Oreochromis niloticus: one gene and its partner. The main gene of each other region encodes a partner of the protein of the gene in region 2 in a complex. Links are inferred from orthologs where the notes say so. Each region holds a gene or a part of one and is shown on either strand. Other genes may lie near its edges.

Evidence for each region. The genes of interacting proteins can lie anywhere in the genome.
Region 1: the proteins of tubgcp6 (region 2) and mzt1 are in contact, whole or in part, in a crystal structure (PDB 6M33), measured with the Homo sapiens proteins. The link is inferred for Oreochromis niloticus from reciprocal best matches to the Homo sapiens genes TUBGCP6 and MZT1. Residues at the interface, in NP_065194.3 of Homo sapiens: Met1, Ala2, Ile4, Leu7, Phe8, Asp10, Leu11, Cys12, Ala14, Leu15, Pro17, Ala33, Leu37, Val40, Ala41, Ala44, Leu45, Asn48, Ile70, Leu73, Lys85, Arg88, Leu89, Leu92, Val93, Glu95, Leu96, Leu104, Leu105, Ser109; in NP_001065243.1 of Homo sapiens: Asn17, Ala20, Val21, Thr24, Val27, Leu28, Glu30, Ile31, Ser32, Ile34, Leu35, Asn36, Thr37, Leu39, Glu42, Thr43, Leu44, Ile46, Cys47, Arg49, Leu50, Cys51, Glu52, Gln53, Ile55, Asn56, Pro57, Glu58, Ala59, Leu60.

The regions. Positions count from the first base shown.
Region 1 is NC_031978.2:13,425,687-13,433,342, reverse strand, and holds the start of mzt1 (mitotic-spindle organizing protein 1), read left to right. Parts: upstream 1-4,650; 5' UTR 4,651-4,874; coding exon 4,875-4,926; intron 4,927-5,057; coding exon 5,058-5,203; intron 5,204-7,656. Other genes in the region: bora (protein aurora borealis), read right to left, coding at 671-691, 1,011-1,145, 1,243-1,808, 2,290-2,452, 2,766-3,034, 3,135-3,191, 3,296-3,340, 3,469-3,547 and 3 more. UniProt on the Homo sapiens protein: Required for the recruitment and the assembly of the gamma-tubulin ring complex (gTuRC) at the centrosome.
Region 2 is NC_031972.2:47,194,029-47,200,963, reverse strand, and holds the start of tubgcp6 (gamma-tubulin complex component 6), read right to left. Parts: upstream 3,015-6,935; 5' UTR 2,734-3,014; intron 2,274-2,733; 5' UTR 2,254-2,273; coding exon 1,468-2,253; intron 1,303-1,467; coding exon 1,139-1,302; intron 531-1,138; coding exon 317-530; intron 1-316. UniProt on the Homo sapiens protein: Component of the gamma-tubulin ring complex (gTuRC) which mediates microtubule nucleation.

The DNA of each region.
Region 1 (7,656 bases), on a different chromosome or scaffold from region 2:
GCAAATAAACACCCTGTGCAGAGGTCCATAAAACAACGTATCCTGAAGCCAGTCAAAAAAAACAAACCTGAACGTAACTTAATGTGACAATAATCCAGAAACTGAATTTAACTATTAGAAACAGAGCGAAGAAATGGCTCAGTCAGCTTTTAATTCATTAGTGGCATTATTCAGCGCATCAGACTGTGATATAAAACAACTCCGTATCAAAACATGATAAAAAAAAGTTTTATAAAAATCATAAATACAGCTCAGATCTGATGTTGCCTGAAAGTCAAGATATATCCAACACCAAATTAAAAGAAAACAAAACTCCCAAAAAACAACAGAAATTGTGCTAGGATCAATACAGCTTTCAGGAAGGTTATTGTTGTGCAAGTTGAATGCAGACTTGATAGTTTGATGCTGGTTTCAAAAGTACAACTGTCTGTGGATTAGACTTCCCTTTGATAACCTGTGATTAAAGAAACTCTGCTTCCAGTCAGGTAACTTGTGAAACCCCATGGTTGTATTCATACCTCATTTAACAGTTAACACAATTCAGTCTAACTGAACATATTTACCATAAATGCTTTAGACATAGTGTAAACCTTGTTGTATTTGATTGCAAAATATTAAGCACATGCTTTCACTAGAAGAAGAATCCCTTTCAATCCATCTATCACTTGGCTCAGTGGTGAGGAAAAAACACCTGAAAGAGAAGAAACTTAGTTTTAATCAAAAGAAGAAGAAAGTAAGGATATACAATGTACACACTAGAGCACACTTCAGGGTTTTCTGTTACACTAACATGGTCGTTGTTTAAAGTGTCTAATCTTAGGTTTTTCTCAGTGAAGAGTTGCTTAAATTTTACTAAATGAATGAAAGAAGTAATTTTTTTTTTTTTTTTTTTTTTTTTTTTTTTTTTTAAAACAAAACTTAATGCTGATAATAACAGTTTTAGGAACAATTAGATCTAAAGGCACAAACTCATGTATCCACATTCTTGTGATTGTGTGTAAAGTCAGTACCTTTACTTTAGTGTGTCGAGTGACTTGGAAGGCATCTTCTGCCATGTTTGAACTGAAGAACTCTTTGCTGTCAAAGTCTTTGTTGGTGCCATCAATAAGACTGACTGCTGAGGTAGTGTTATAACCGCTGTCCACCTGAACACGTGCAAAAAGCCAGTCAATCAGAAATATTCTGTTACCCAAAACATCAATATGAAATTATCCTTCCCGGGGTTAAGCTGTTTTTACAAACCTGCATGCTAGAATCGTAGCGTATGCTGCTTCCTTCTGCCAGGAGAGACACAAACATGTGAGAGTTTTCTATTGCTGATGCATTAACCATGCGAGAGCTGGTCAGCTGCTCGGAAGGCCCCACACCTTCATCCTCCTCATACTCGAGCCTCGGTTCAATTTCTGTCTCTTTGCCTTCCTCCATTTTCACAGGTTCCATTGGGTCCATGCTAACTCTCTCAGTGTTGGTGGGGTGAGAGTCTTGTGTCAGGGGTGATGATGACGAATCTAATTCCATAGAGGGGAAAGAAGAGCGAGTGGCAGAGGGGAGGTGTTCTTCAGCCACCTCATTGTCTGGGAGCTTAGGGTTGAGGATCGGTGAGATGAGGGGAGGGGAAGCCCAGCAGCGGCCTCTAGGTCTGGGCCTGGGTCGAGAAATGCGCTGGGGTTCATTGTGGCAATGGAGCTGGTGTGGGGAGCAGCTACGAATGGGAGAGCAACCCTCAACAAATGGACTCTCACTGCAGGAAGCGACCATGTCCAGGGGGGCACCACGTGGGGTCAAACAGCTCGGCTGGTTCCTCTCAGCTAAAGAAAGAACACAGTAACAATTACTTGCCTTTTTACCAACATTTTGTCTTCTCAGTCACATATTCTTTGTTGGATCATAACATTCCTGAAGCACATCCCCATTCAGAAGATAACGAAGACACATCTGCCTCAATTACCAGTCCTTAATTCAATGTAAAGACCAAATTATATAGGTGTTCTTCTTGCTCCAATGCAACTTATTCTGCATTTTATCATAATATCACCAACTAAATACATGGAGGCATCACCACCATACTCAAAGGATCATGTATTATAGAGGAAGATTTAAAACTACTAGCTGGATGAAAACTGTTGTCATGATAAAAAAAAAAAAAAAAAAATTATATATTTATTTATTAAATACAAAACCATGTCAGTGTGGATGTAGCCTTAGCCAATATTTCTCCAATTTTGATTTGTTTGGATATTAAAATTTTAGTTACAAAGTGTAACTAGTGTTTTAGTTACAACTGTGTACCTGAGCCAACAGGTGTGCGTGCTGCATGTGCAACAATAGGAGAAATTGTGGGGGAGATGAGGCCAGCAGGAGAGGACCTATCACGGAAGAGAGGACTGTCGATGCTGCCAAGGCTACAATCCCGGAAGCGTCCGTGCTGGATGGGACTCGAAGAGAACTGACCCTAAAATAGCAATAGCAATTTTATTTATGTAGCACATTTCATTACGTGTAAACTGCTTAACAAAGAAGATAAAAACCTGTGTAGGTTTACAATCCTTTAAGGCAGCAAAAACACAAAAACAAATCAACAGCAACTATTTAGTGTAAGCCTGGGTGAAGGCTTAACAGTGTAAATGTTCATTTTCCTGTTATTAAAATATTCGTTGAGCAAAATATGATCTCCAGATGCATTTTTTTCTTTTGAATTTTATGCTTAAAATTAAATTGTTTGGGTAACGGTTGTGTATATGAAATCCCTACACTCCTCTACTTACCGTAGAAGGCGTCGGAGCTGACACACCACAGGCCGAAGGGGAGGAAAAGATAGCCGATACAGCTTCTCCCTCAGAACCTTCAACGCAGTCTCCTCTCTTGAGAGATGGCTTTTCCTGACCGGCATTGCCTCTCTCTGGACTTGGAGGGCTCGAGCTGTCTGAGCCACTATAACTATTTTGGCCATCAAGGAATAGTTTTCGTCGCAAGGAGGAGCTGCTAAGACTCTCCTGCACTGGATCACACACTTCTTCATAACGGTAATATTCCCCTGTGAGAAAAAAAAAAAAAACAGAAACAGTGACTTGACAGCAGATTGTTCGATTTTCTTTTTCTCACTATGATCCTGTTGGTGTTTAGTCAAGGTTTACCTAGAACTTTCTCCAAATCAAAAGCCAAAGGCAATGTAAGGGTTGTCTGACATCCAACTGTAGATCAAAACACACAAAGTTATATATATATATAAAAAGTAGGTAAAAGGGGGAAAAAAAGTCAAAACAGGTAAAAAAAAAAAAAAAAAAAAGTAACCAACCTGAAATTTTTTCTGGCTCCTCTGCAATCATTGCAGACATTGAACCTACAACATTAAAAATAAAAGCATTTACAAAACCAGAGTTCAACAGAAATCTATGGATAAAAACAAAATAAATACAAATACAAAACCTATAAGAATTAAGAAGTAACATAAAAGATAAGATAACTTACTACTCTTAGAAATCTGAGGGACTTTACGGGTCTCTGGTGCCGCCCAGGGGGAAGGGACAATTATTCCTTTGGTGAAAAACTTTATTGGAGACAGGATAATGACATCAGTACAAAGGGAATCTATAAATTTTGGGTACACTAAATTCTGTATCATTAGTAAAGGATGAGATTTGGTTACCTGCTCAATAGCATTCTGACGTTTTTCCTCAATGTCCGAATCCGTCCTAAAAGAAAGACCACTCACGTTTGATAGAGTCTTTAATAAGCTCCCCAGGTTTAATACATAGAGGAGGTATTAAAATCACAAAATAAAACAATACATTTCTTCCTCAAAGAATTTCACATTTGTCACAGTGTCAGCCTTATTACATCACTTACCTTGTCTGACTGAGGTAAAAAGATTGTCGCTGAATTTCCTCTGGGTCTATGTGCACTGGTAGGAGACTGGCCATTTCATCAATAGACCAGTTAAACTTAGGTGGAGTCTGGGTAAATTAAACAAGTCTAGAATTATTAAGAGACTACATCAAATCATGAGTAAACGAGTTGAGTAGATGATATGAAGTAAATTTAAAACTTACAGCTTTACAAGGTAGGGACTTGAATACAGATGGACTTGGCACCAGCGGTTCGCGAAGATGGTGATAGTCGTTTGGACTTTCAAAGGGGTTTCTAATGGAGGGCCTGCCTGGAGTCTCTGGAGTGATCTGGATCTCAGCATGGTCCCCCATTTTAGCTGACAAGAAATATCAAAGTCGGGATGACGATAAATGACAATCCAATCACAAAAAGACACTAAAATTATTTCGTGATAAGGCGATTTTTTGTATTATTTTGTTCTACTCTGGTACGTTGGCTACATTACTCCCTCTGTTTCTATAGCGTTAAAAAAAAACCTTCGAAGGAAGCAGCTTTTAAAATGAGGATTTAGCTTCACACATTTCACTTCACCCCTAACTTATTTATACATTTACGCAAGAACTAGATAACGTTTGTCTTACAACTGTTGGTACTTACAATTGTGAATGAGCCGGAACTCTAACAGCAATATTCATTGGAAAGCCAGCAGCAAACAATCAGCAGAGAGACCAGTTCAAACGTTTTTTAATTTCGCCCACAAGGTAGGCTAGCCAATAGAATCGTCGCAGGAAGTTCGCGTAACCAATGAAGAATTTCGTGTCGTCACTTCCTTCAGCACACTTTCGCGAGTAGCGGCAATGAGCGCTGTCAGCTAGCTAGGATCTTATATTGACCTTTACGTGATTGTGCTAGCCTGGTTTTTGCTGATTCAATCTAAATGTATAAGAAACGCCTGAAATCTGGCTGATTTTTTGCGTTGTGTCTCTAAGTCTTAATTTGTCAGCCACTTGCTAGCAAGCGTTGGCTAGCTATAGTCATCCATCACTATGGCCAGTGCAGCAAACGCAAACCTAAACGCAGTACGGGAGACGATGGACGGTAAATATGTAATTACTGCGTGTAGTATTTTGTGTATTTGTATAATAGTTGTAAATTCATCTTAAAATATATATAGTACGTTTTAGCATGTGTGTCATAGCTGTGTCTGTTTTTACCTCCTCCCCCAACAGTGTTGCTGGAGATCTCCAGGTTGCTCAACACTGGCTTGGATATGGAGTCTCTATCCATATGCGTGAGACTGTGTGAGCAGGGCATCAACCCAGAAGCTCTTTCTGCAGTCATCAAAGAACTGCGGAAAGCTTCCGAGTCCCTTAAGGTACAGACACAGCCTCCCTAAAAGCTAATCAGCTCACATTGTACATACATGTAGATACTTTACTGAGCCAACAAGGAAATTATTGTTAAAGCGGCAGAAGGATAAAAATGATATAATCTACAGCATTATTAAAGGTACCACAGGCTTATACTTGATTTCTTATTAGGAAAGGTCTGGATCCAGTCTGGATCCTTTCTGTATGACGTTTTGCATAGTCTCCAGGTACTCACCGTCCCCCCCACAGTCCAAAGACATGCATGGGGTTAGGTTAATTTTGGTTCCAATTTAAACACAGGTCTGTCTGTGTTAGTTTTGCATTCTTTATGAATGCAACTGGCATTAAAAAGAACATGTACACTATAAATCTGAGAAATCACAGGAAGAAGGTTTGATACAGAAATATCTCTGCCATCTAATCTTGTTTCACCTTTTTTCACCAGTTATATAAAGGAGACTTGTAGAGTTTTATAGAGAACAGTAGGAATGCTTTCCTTTATGGCAGCAAAGTCAGCCCTCTGTAGTTTGGAATGGAGTGAGTTAGATGGGTTGTCCATAATGGTAAGCAGTTTATTCAGTGACCTCCTGTCCCTCACTGACTTAAGTGACTCCAGATTCCAGCCAATGATGGTTCCAAACTTGTGGATTAGTTTGTTGATCCTGCTGGCATCTCTGGCACTGATGCTGCCTCCCACTGCTAACTGAATCTGAGCTTAATTAGAAAGTCCGGTCTGCTCTTACCCTTCTTGTACATAGCATCACTATTTATCCTCCAGACCAGTCTTTCATTCAAGTGAACACTCAAGTACCTGTCCACTGTTTTACCATCCTTACCTATGACATTAATGGGCTTCGGCACATTTTTTTAAAAATTTCCTCTAAAAGTCAAACATCATCTCTTTTTCACATTGAGGAAGAGGTGATTTCTGCCAGACCATTTGTTTGAAATATGTTAAATATGCTTGAAACTATGTGTTTAGAAAAATACTTTACATTTAAGTTTTTTTTGTGTAACTTGAACAATTTTCACATTTTTTTTTTAATATCTTTAAGATGGGATATGCATGAAACTGTTAAATGCACATCTAACCCTACTTCAGTGAATAAACAAGTGGTATGTCCCACAGTGGCGGTCACTTGTCTGTGGAATCGGTCCAAGTAGTTAAATTCTTTGGAATTGTTAGCCTGCCTGCCTATCAGATTCGCTTATCAGTTCTCATGGCACTGGAGGAGGAAAATAGTGACACAGTCTACAGCATGGATATAAACAATACTTTAGTTTTAAAAGCCAGTACGATGGTAAATTGCAAACTGCCCAGGACAAAAACAACTGAATTTTGCTGCTAACCTAACTACGGATCTTTACAAGCACCTGCACAGACGACATGCTAACGCTAATCTAGCCAAGAACCCAGAGTGATGTTAAAGCTGAGTGAATGCTGACCCCACCCCAGCATACTTTGTGTTCATACATAAATACTAAAGAAAAATACTAGAGTAAAGATCATATGTGTGTCCTCATTAGGATAGGGATTTGTGTTTGTGTGTGGGACTGTAGCCTATAGGTTTATACTGTTATATAATATGATATAAAATTCTATAATTATGAGACAATGAGTTTCAGGTAATTTTATGGAGAAAACTTTCTCCTGGGAGTAATTAAGCAACATAATCCATTACATTTAAGAAAAGTGTTCTGTGTAATCCCTCAAATATGTAATACCTGTTCTAGTTATCATCACACCACCCAACCGAGTCTTTCCGGACTTATTCAGATGTTTAATTGATGTCAATACAAAAGCGAACACCAGCAATGGCAGTGTGACAGGCTGTGTGTGTGTGAAGTATAGATAACATCTGAAATTTAAGAATGTTTATAAAGATGCAGCCGGGTGTAGGGTGACAGAACCTCTTTTTGCATACCAGTTTTACTGAGATATGCCGACACAAAGTAAGCAAAACACCTGATTTTAAAGCATTATGGGCATATTATTAGATTTGCACAGATATAAGAATCAGTATAACCAAATCTTGAACACAGATTTCCAACCAAGATTATTTTACTCATTGAAAGAGGCTTAACATGTCGTCCAGAAAATAAACTGTGGTCATTTAATGCATATCAGGATATGAAGTACCAGATTCACAGAAGGGGTTTTTATATATATAAAGTTCTCTCCTAACCTGCTGCTATTGGCCCCTTTCAGATATGCTCTGCTGCATCTATAATCTGTTGGCTTCCTGTCTAAAAGACCACCACAGTCAACTTGCAAAAAAAGTAATTACTATAAGTGAGCCTTTGTAACATTTTTTTATTCAAATCTTTCAACAGAAGTCTTACTGCATGCAGTTGCCTTAACAAATAGAAAATGCCATAAACAGTCATAGCACATGCAAAAAGCATTTTGTCCCTTTCACTCATTTCTAATTTTCGGCGTTTCTTGTGTATGTTGCAT
Region 2 (6,935 bases):
ACCAGCAGAGCTCCCCTGGGTTTTTATGTTCAGAATTAGGAATATTTTATTTTATTTCATGATCATTTAATCAGGCAGCTGACTTAAGCATACACTTCACACTGTTACATTTTATGAGTCAGTACAGCTTGTTTATATGCATGAATTTCCCATTATATCACATTCCAGCTTCTCCTTTTAATCTGTTTTTCTATTTGTAGGCTGTCACAGCGCTTTTAGTTACTTTTATCACTTCTGCCTGACAGACTACTAAAAAACAAACAAAAAAAACAAATAAAGTGCATTTTAGAGACTAATAAAAGATAACGAACTGCACCTGGTTGAGAGGAAAAGTAGTAGAAGCCACTCCAATTAGGACGTTAAGGAGATCAGACACCAGTTGCTTCTGGGAGTCCAGGGGTAAGGGGAGGACAGGAGACGGTGTGCTCGTGCTCACCACCCTCATTTCACCCTCCCAAAGCCGATAGAGCTGGTCAAAGGCCTCCCTGCCTCCCTCTGTTAGATAGAAAGACTCCCTTTTTCCAGGTGGGCTAGTGGGACAAACAAGGCATTCAGTTCCGTTTTCCAGAGGGAAAAAAAAAATACAAAACCAAAAAAAAAAACTAAATAAGTGGGACTCTCCAATACCTTGATGACTCTGTAGTTAATAGTGTATGTGTCATTATGTCATTTTCTAAACTAAAGGCTTTGGTTTAATTCAGGATACTCTTGAATTCTGTATCTACCAGCTAAAGTGGATTTCTGTTCATTTATATGTCACAAATTTTGTTGTCATTTGACATTTAGATGTTTATTTATGTTAGACCTTAAAACCCAAACACAGACTGGTTTATTTTTTTCAAAAATGCTTTTTTTTTTCTTTTCTTTTCTTTTTTTTTTACATTTTCATTAGCTTGGCATCTTACAAAAAAGTAAGCAAGCTTCTATCATTCAATCTATCATTATTTCTGGCATTTTACAGACCCATCAATTATTTCAAAAAAGGCGGAACAATAAAACTATGAAAAGAATCGGTAGTTGCTGTCATATTATAGTGAGGAACTAGATTTACAACTGTTAGTGGGTTACAGCTGCTTTTTTTAAATATGAAAAGTAGTTTGGTATCCTTAGAGCATAATCAAACTGACACATCACTTACCAGCCAACAGACTCCCAGCAGCGGCGTCTTCCAGGCTCAAATGTGCGTAGAGCCTCCCAGATATCAAAGTCTGGAATGGGGCTAGGCTCTGACTGAGAGTCTGGGGTCAGGTTGGAGGCTGACTGGAAGCCCTCATCTTCACACTGATCTAAACAAGGAGGCACCTGCAGAGAACAACAAAGAGAGAGTGCATAAAGCAATGCAAAGATAAATTATTTAAATCAAACACTGTGCAAATATGAATACGCTGAGCTGCTGAAGTGGAAATGTGATAAAACAGCCTAAGCTAAACTAAATGCATTACTTAAGGATATAATATGGTGTCTTACTCGTATCGCCAACCCTGTTACATCAATATTACTGGGGATTGGAGGCAGATCTAGTCTTATGTCCATGTCCGAGGTGCGAGTGTGCTGCAGTGCTCCAAACAGTGTCAGCCTGGTCTCCTTTTCAAATCTTTCTTCTGCTTCTAGTTTTGTTCTCAAAGCTAGCAGTCCTGTGCCAGGTGGAGCATCCATCAGCCTCTGAGTTCCATACAGACTCTCCAAAGTCCCCCATTCCTCCCCACACACCAGACCCCATGCCCGTGCCTCCAGCCTCTGCAAGTCCTCACTTTGGTAGCTCCATGGTTGAGGCATCCGCAGCACAGGCCTCTCTCTTCTCATATAGTCCCTGCTGAACGAGGTAGGGGGAGGAGGTGCCGACCCAGCTAGGTTCACAAGAAGGTCAAGGACTGCATCCACTTCCTTCAAACCAGAGTATTCTCCCTCTGGCAGCCTCCCGAGCTGCTCTTCCAGCCTTTCTGCTTCCTCTCGACAGCCAGCCACGCGTAAATCAAAACATATCATCAAGACTTTATTTCTCGGTGGTGTATTAGCTGTGGCACTCAGTCCTGGTGCAGGTCCTTTGGTGCCATCTTGAAACAGCTTAGACAGGAGGGCACCATAGGCGCGTTTTTTAAGAGCCCTGTGGAAACTTTCTCTTGAGACTCCTCCCAGTGCTCTGCGCTTCCATGACACCCCAGAAAGGCTGCAGTCACACAGGGCACTCAGCAGTTCAGTGATGCTGCTGCTGGTACAGCTGGGCATCATGCAGTTGTTAAGGCTTGGGTTCATGGTAGCTCTCTTCCCTCAGCCTGTATGAGTAAAACAAACAAGTTTTAGGTGATTGCTTTTAGAACAACTGTAACTATAACAGACGTTTTCCTAACAACCCATAGACATCAGACAATAACTCAGTCCAACCAACGCTGGTGTGACAGACATATTACTGTTGACTACTTCCTTTATAAACCACAGTATACATACGTACACACACACTGTATATAACAGTGTGTTATATACACACGCACACATTGTACATGACAGTGTGTGTGTGCGTATGTATCCTATACATAGTGCGCTTACTCTGGCTGTTTGTATGTATACTGTGTGTCAGCTAACTAGCATCACTGTTAGCCTTTTTAGCTAACGTTTGAGATATCAAACGATATGTTTTTGTTTCTTTAGCAAGCCCTGTGCTATTCCGAGCTAAAACTATCTTTCTTTCTTGTAGTTTTCTATTTTCTTGGTGTAGTATTGTATGTAATAATTCACCTGAAAATTTGAACCTTGCATCCACCTCCAGCGACTCCTTCCCGTGCATGCTACCGTTTGTTGTGACCAATGTACCTCTGCATCGATTAGCCTTCCAGCTACGTTTAAGCGCAATAACAGTCGGATCAATTATATATTTATTTTGATTTTTTTTTACTTCAGCTACAAATTAATATGCAGTGTTGCTGCACTTAGGAGCCGAAAGCAAGCTAGGCGCCTCATTCATCTTCCATCGTCCGGCGCAAGGAAACAACAAACAGTATAGCTGCCTCCCCCTGTCTCTGATTGGACAATCAAGTTCTCCTCTGCAAATGACTGGCTAATGATACTGCAGAAGGCAGGCTGATTGGTCCGTTTTGTTAGTCCATCGGGGGATGAGAAAAGTGTCATTTGTAACCGCGCTTTGCTGCATTCAGGTGTCACACGAAAAATGTAATTTTGTCGTCCATGACAGGACACTTTTAAGTAATTGACGATAATTATTAATGAACACAACTCTTAACATAACAAAAAAGAGATATCCAGAGAAAACACTTTTAAAGCTAATGCAGCCAGTACTGCAGTTTTGCTTGTTGGGGAGTAAAATCGTTTAATAAATAGACGATTTCAATGATTTATCAGTAAAACACCTAAGCAGTCTCCACTACTTATGGGTGAGTAAATTCTAATTACAGACCTGATGGTTGAATATGGTCTCCTATTTTCGCTGATCAGATTCCTGAAAAAGCTGACAGGCACTCATGCTGCCTCCAACAATTATGCATTCCTAGTGTGAATGCAGTAAATGACCTGGGTCACAACCGACAGACTCAGTTTCCCAGAAATGGATCATGCAGTACTAACCATACCCCGTCCCCAATGGAGGTCTTTACTGAATTTATCTTTAAGTCTAAGACTAGGATTAATCCCTGTCGGACAAACCTGCTGATAGTTCTTGTTTTTCAGAATCAGAATCAGAATCGTGTTTATTGGCCAAGTATATGTGCAGACAAATACAAGGAATTTGGTTCCGGTAGATGGTGGCTATCAAGCACAGCAATGTAAAACACACACACACACACACACACACGTCTATATATACATTACACATGCATACACATACATACACAAAGCTGTGTAAACCAACTATAAATAACTAAACTTATGTACATAAAATACAGAAATGAAATGAGGTGGAATGAATACTACAAAATGTACATGAGGTGCAGTTGCAGTCTGGCAGTGGGGAGCAGTGTGACAGGTCAACTGTTTAGAAGGGAGATGGCGAGGGGAAAGAAACTGTTCCTGTGTCGGGTGGTCCTGGTCTGCAGGCTTCTGTACCGTCTGCCAGAGGGCAGCAGGTCAAAAAGTCTGTGTCCAGGGTGTGAGGGGTCTGTGATGATTTTCCCTGCCCGTTTCCTGGTTCTTGAGAGGTACAGATCCTGGATGGAGGGCAGGGGGGCGCCGATGATCCTTTCTGCTGCCCATACAGTCCGCTGCAGTCTGCTCCTGTCCTGTTTAGTGGCTGCACCATACCAGACTGTGATGGAGGAGCACAGGACAGACTCAATGACTGCAGTGTAGAACTGGGTCAGCAGCTCCTGTGGAAGACTGTACTTCCCCAGTTGTCTCAGGAAGTACATCCTCTGCTGGGTCTTTTTGAGGATGGAGTTGATGTTGGTCTCCCACTTCAGGTCCTGGGAGATGGTGGTACCCAGGAACTTGAAGATCTTCACAGTCGACACAGGGCTGTCTGACATGATGAGGGGGGGCAGAGTTGGGGGATGTCTCCTGAAGTCCAGTGTCATCTCTACAGTTTTAAGAGTGTTCAGCTCCAGATTGTGCTGACTGCACCAGAGTACCAGCCGCTCAACTTCCTGCCGGTATGCAGACTCATCACCATCCTGAATGAGGCCAATGACGGTGGTGTCATCTGCAAACTTTAGGAGTTTAACAGCTGAGTTCTTGGAGGTGCAGTCATTAGTGTAGAGGGAGAACAGTAGTGGTGAGAGGACACATCCTTGAGGGGCACCAATACTGAGGGTCCGAGTTTCAGAGGTGATCTCCCCCAGCCTCACTTGTTACTTTCTGTCTGTCAGGAAGCTGGTGATCCACTGACAGGTAGCTGGAGACACGCTGAGCTGGGAGAGTTTGGAAGAGAGAAGTTCAGGCAGGATGGTGTTAAAAGCCGAACTAAAGTCCACAAACAGGATCCTGGCATAAGTTCCCGGGCGGTCGAGGTGTTGCAGGATGTAATGCAGCCCCATATTCACTGCATCATCCACCGACCTGTTTGCCCGGTAGGCAAACTGCAGAGGGTCCAGCTGGTGGCCTGTAATGTCCTTCAGATGGGCTAACACCAGTCGTTCGAAGGATTTCATGACCACAGACGTCAAGGCGACAGGTCTGTAGTTGTTCAGTCCTGTGATGGTGGGTTTCTTGGGAACAGGGATGATGGTGGAGCGTTTGAAGCAGGATGGAACTTCACACAGCTCCAGGGATCTGTTGAAGATGCGAGTGAAGATGGGAGCCAGCTGTTCAGCACAGGTCTTGAGGCAGGAGGGTGAGACACCGTCTGGTCCGGGGGCTTTCCTGGGCTTCTGTTTCTGGAATAGTCGGCTTTGCAGTACAGTCCAAGGATCACCTGCAGCTAAAGTTGTTTTAGATTTAAGTAGGCTTTGTCCCTCATTGTTGAGGAAAGAGTACCTCTTTAATGGCCAGCATGAGCAGTAATCAGAAGAATTACCTGTACTCGTGAGTGTTATTTTCTTTTAATTATATGTTTCTCGCACACACATCTGACAAATGAAGTGGGAGGCGCTCTGTATGTACACCTAATTAAGTCGTTATAATTACATTTAAAAAAGCATGTAGTGATATTGATGGCATTTTTTTAAATTATTGCCTATAATAAGTTGCATTTGTGGTGCACAGATGTAGTACGTTTTTCCATGTCACACAATTAAAAACATTTTGAGGGTCTTTTTTATGGGTGTGATTTTGAAACATTAGTAAATCCGTTTTCTTGAGATACTGCCGCCCATCACTACTCGTTAGACTCAAGTGTTAAGTAGACTACAACCAATTTAAACTCATACTAAGCTTAATAAAATCCCACATGTGAAAATCCAAGCTAACTCAACGAGATATTTTAATTTGCTCCCAGGATATGAGCTTAGAGAACCCTGGAATCAGAAACTGCCTGCGTGGTTTTAAATTATTCATCAGAACAACTGTTTAGAATGACACCACACCATCATTGTTTTTATTTGCTCCAAGTTCTCCTCCTCCTCCTCCTCCCCTAAGGCAGAGAGAATCAAAGCCAAATCTCGTTAGGAGGTTTCAAACGTGGAGGTGAGACTTAACCTGCAGAAGGAGAGGCTGGCTGCATTGTGTGAAGAAGCATCCTAGACGGGAGAACAGAAGCCAGGAATCATGCAGATTTTAACCCAATTTCTTGAAACCCGGCACAGAGGCTGACTGAAAAATAATTATTCTTAGTGTGCAGTATCATTGATTTCTAGACAGTGAAGGGCATGGTTATTTAAAAATCTTATCACAAGCGCTGTGCGCGGCAAATAATGTTGAATCCCAAAATGATGTAAGCTGCGTGTCCTAATAGGAATATAAAGTACTGTATTGCCTTTGATTTCCCACAAGTGATCAAGGATAGTGTACAAAATGCAGTGCTTGCGATAATCAAGTGTAATCACTCTTGCTTTGGCAGCAGCCCTTGAAGTTGCTCTATCTGTTGCTGCATCAGTGATCCGCTCGGTTAGAAGATGGCCCGTGCAGGCTCCTAGTCTGTCTTTGATATCTCCACCCCTGCGTCTGGGTTTGTTAAGCAGTCAGATGAGGCAATTTTGCCTTTCATCTTTCTTTTTTCCAATTTCATTCTTAGCTGTCAGTACTTAATTAATGTTTTTTGCCGCAATTTTTCCAACCTTCACCGCCGATGACAGAGATGCGGCGCGGCTATTTATATTATCAACTCATTTCATGAAGCCAGACCTTGGCTTCTAGTTTGTATTCCGAGCCTTGTGACAGGAACCTGATGTGGCATTTGGGGGGAAAAGCATCAGCCATCATAGGATATGCTGCATATGAAGACTGATGATATCAACTGATGTTATCAACAAAGTCGTTTGGGGTCATAATATGAAGGAATATGTGTGATAAGGGGGGGAAAAAAACTGTTAGCTTTTGACACTTGGTCCTCTTCT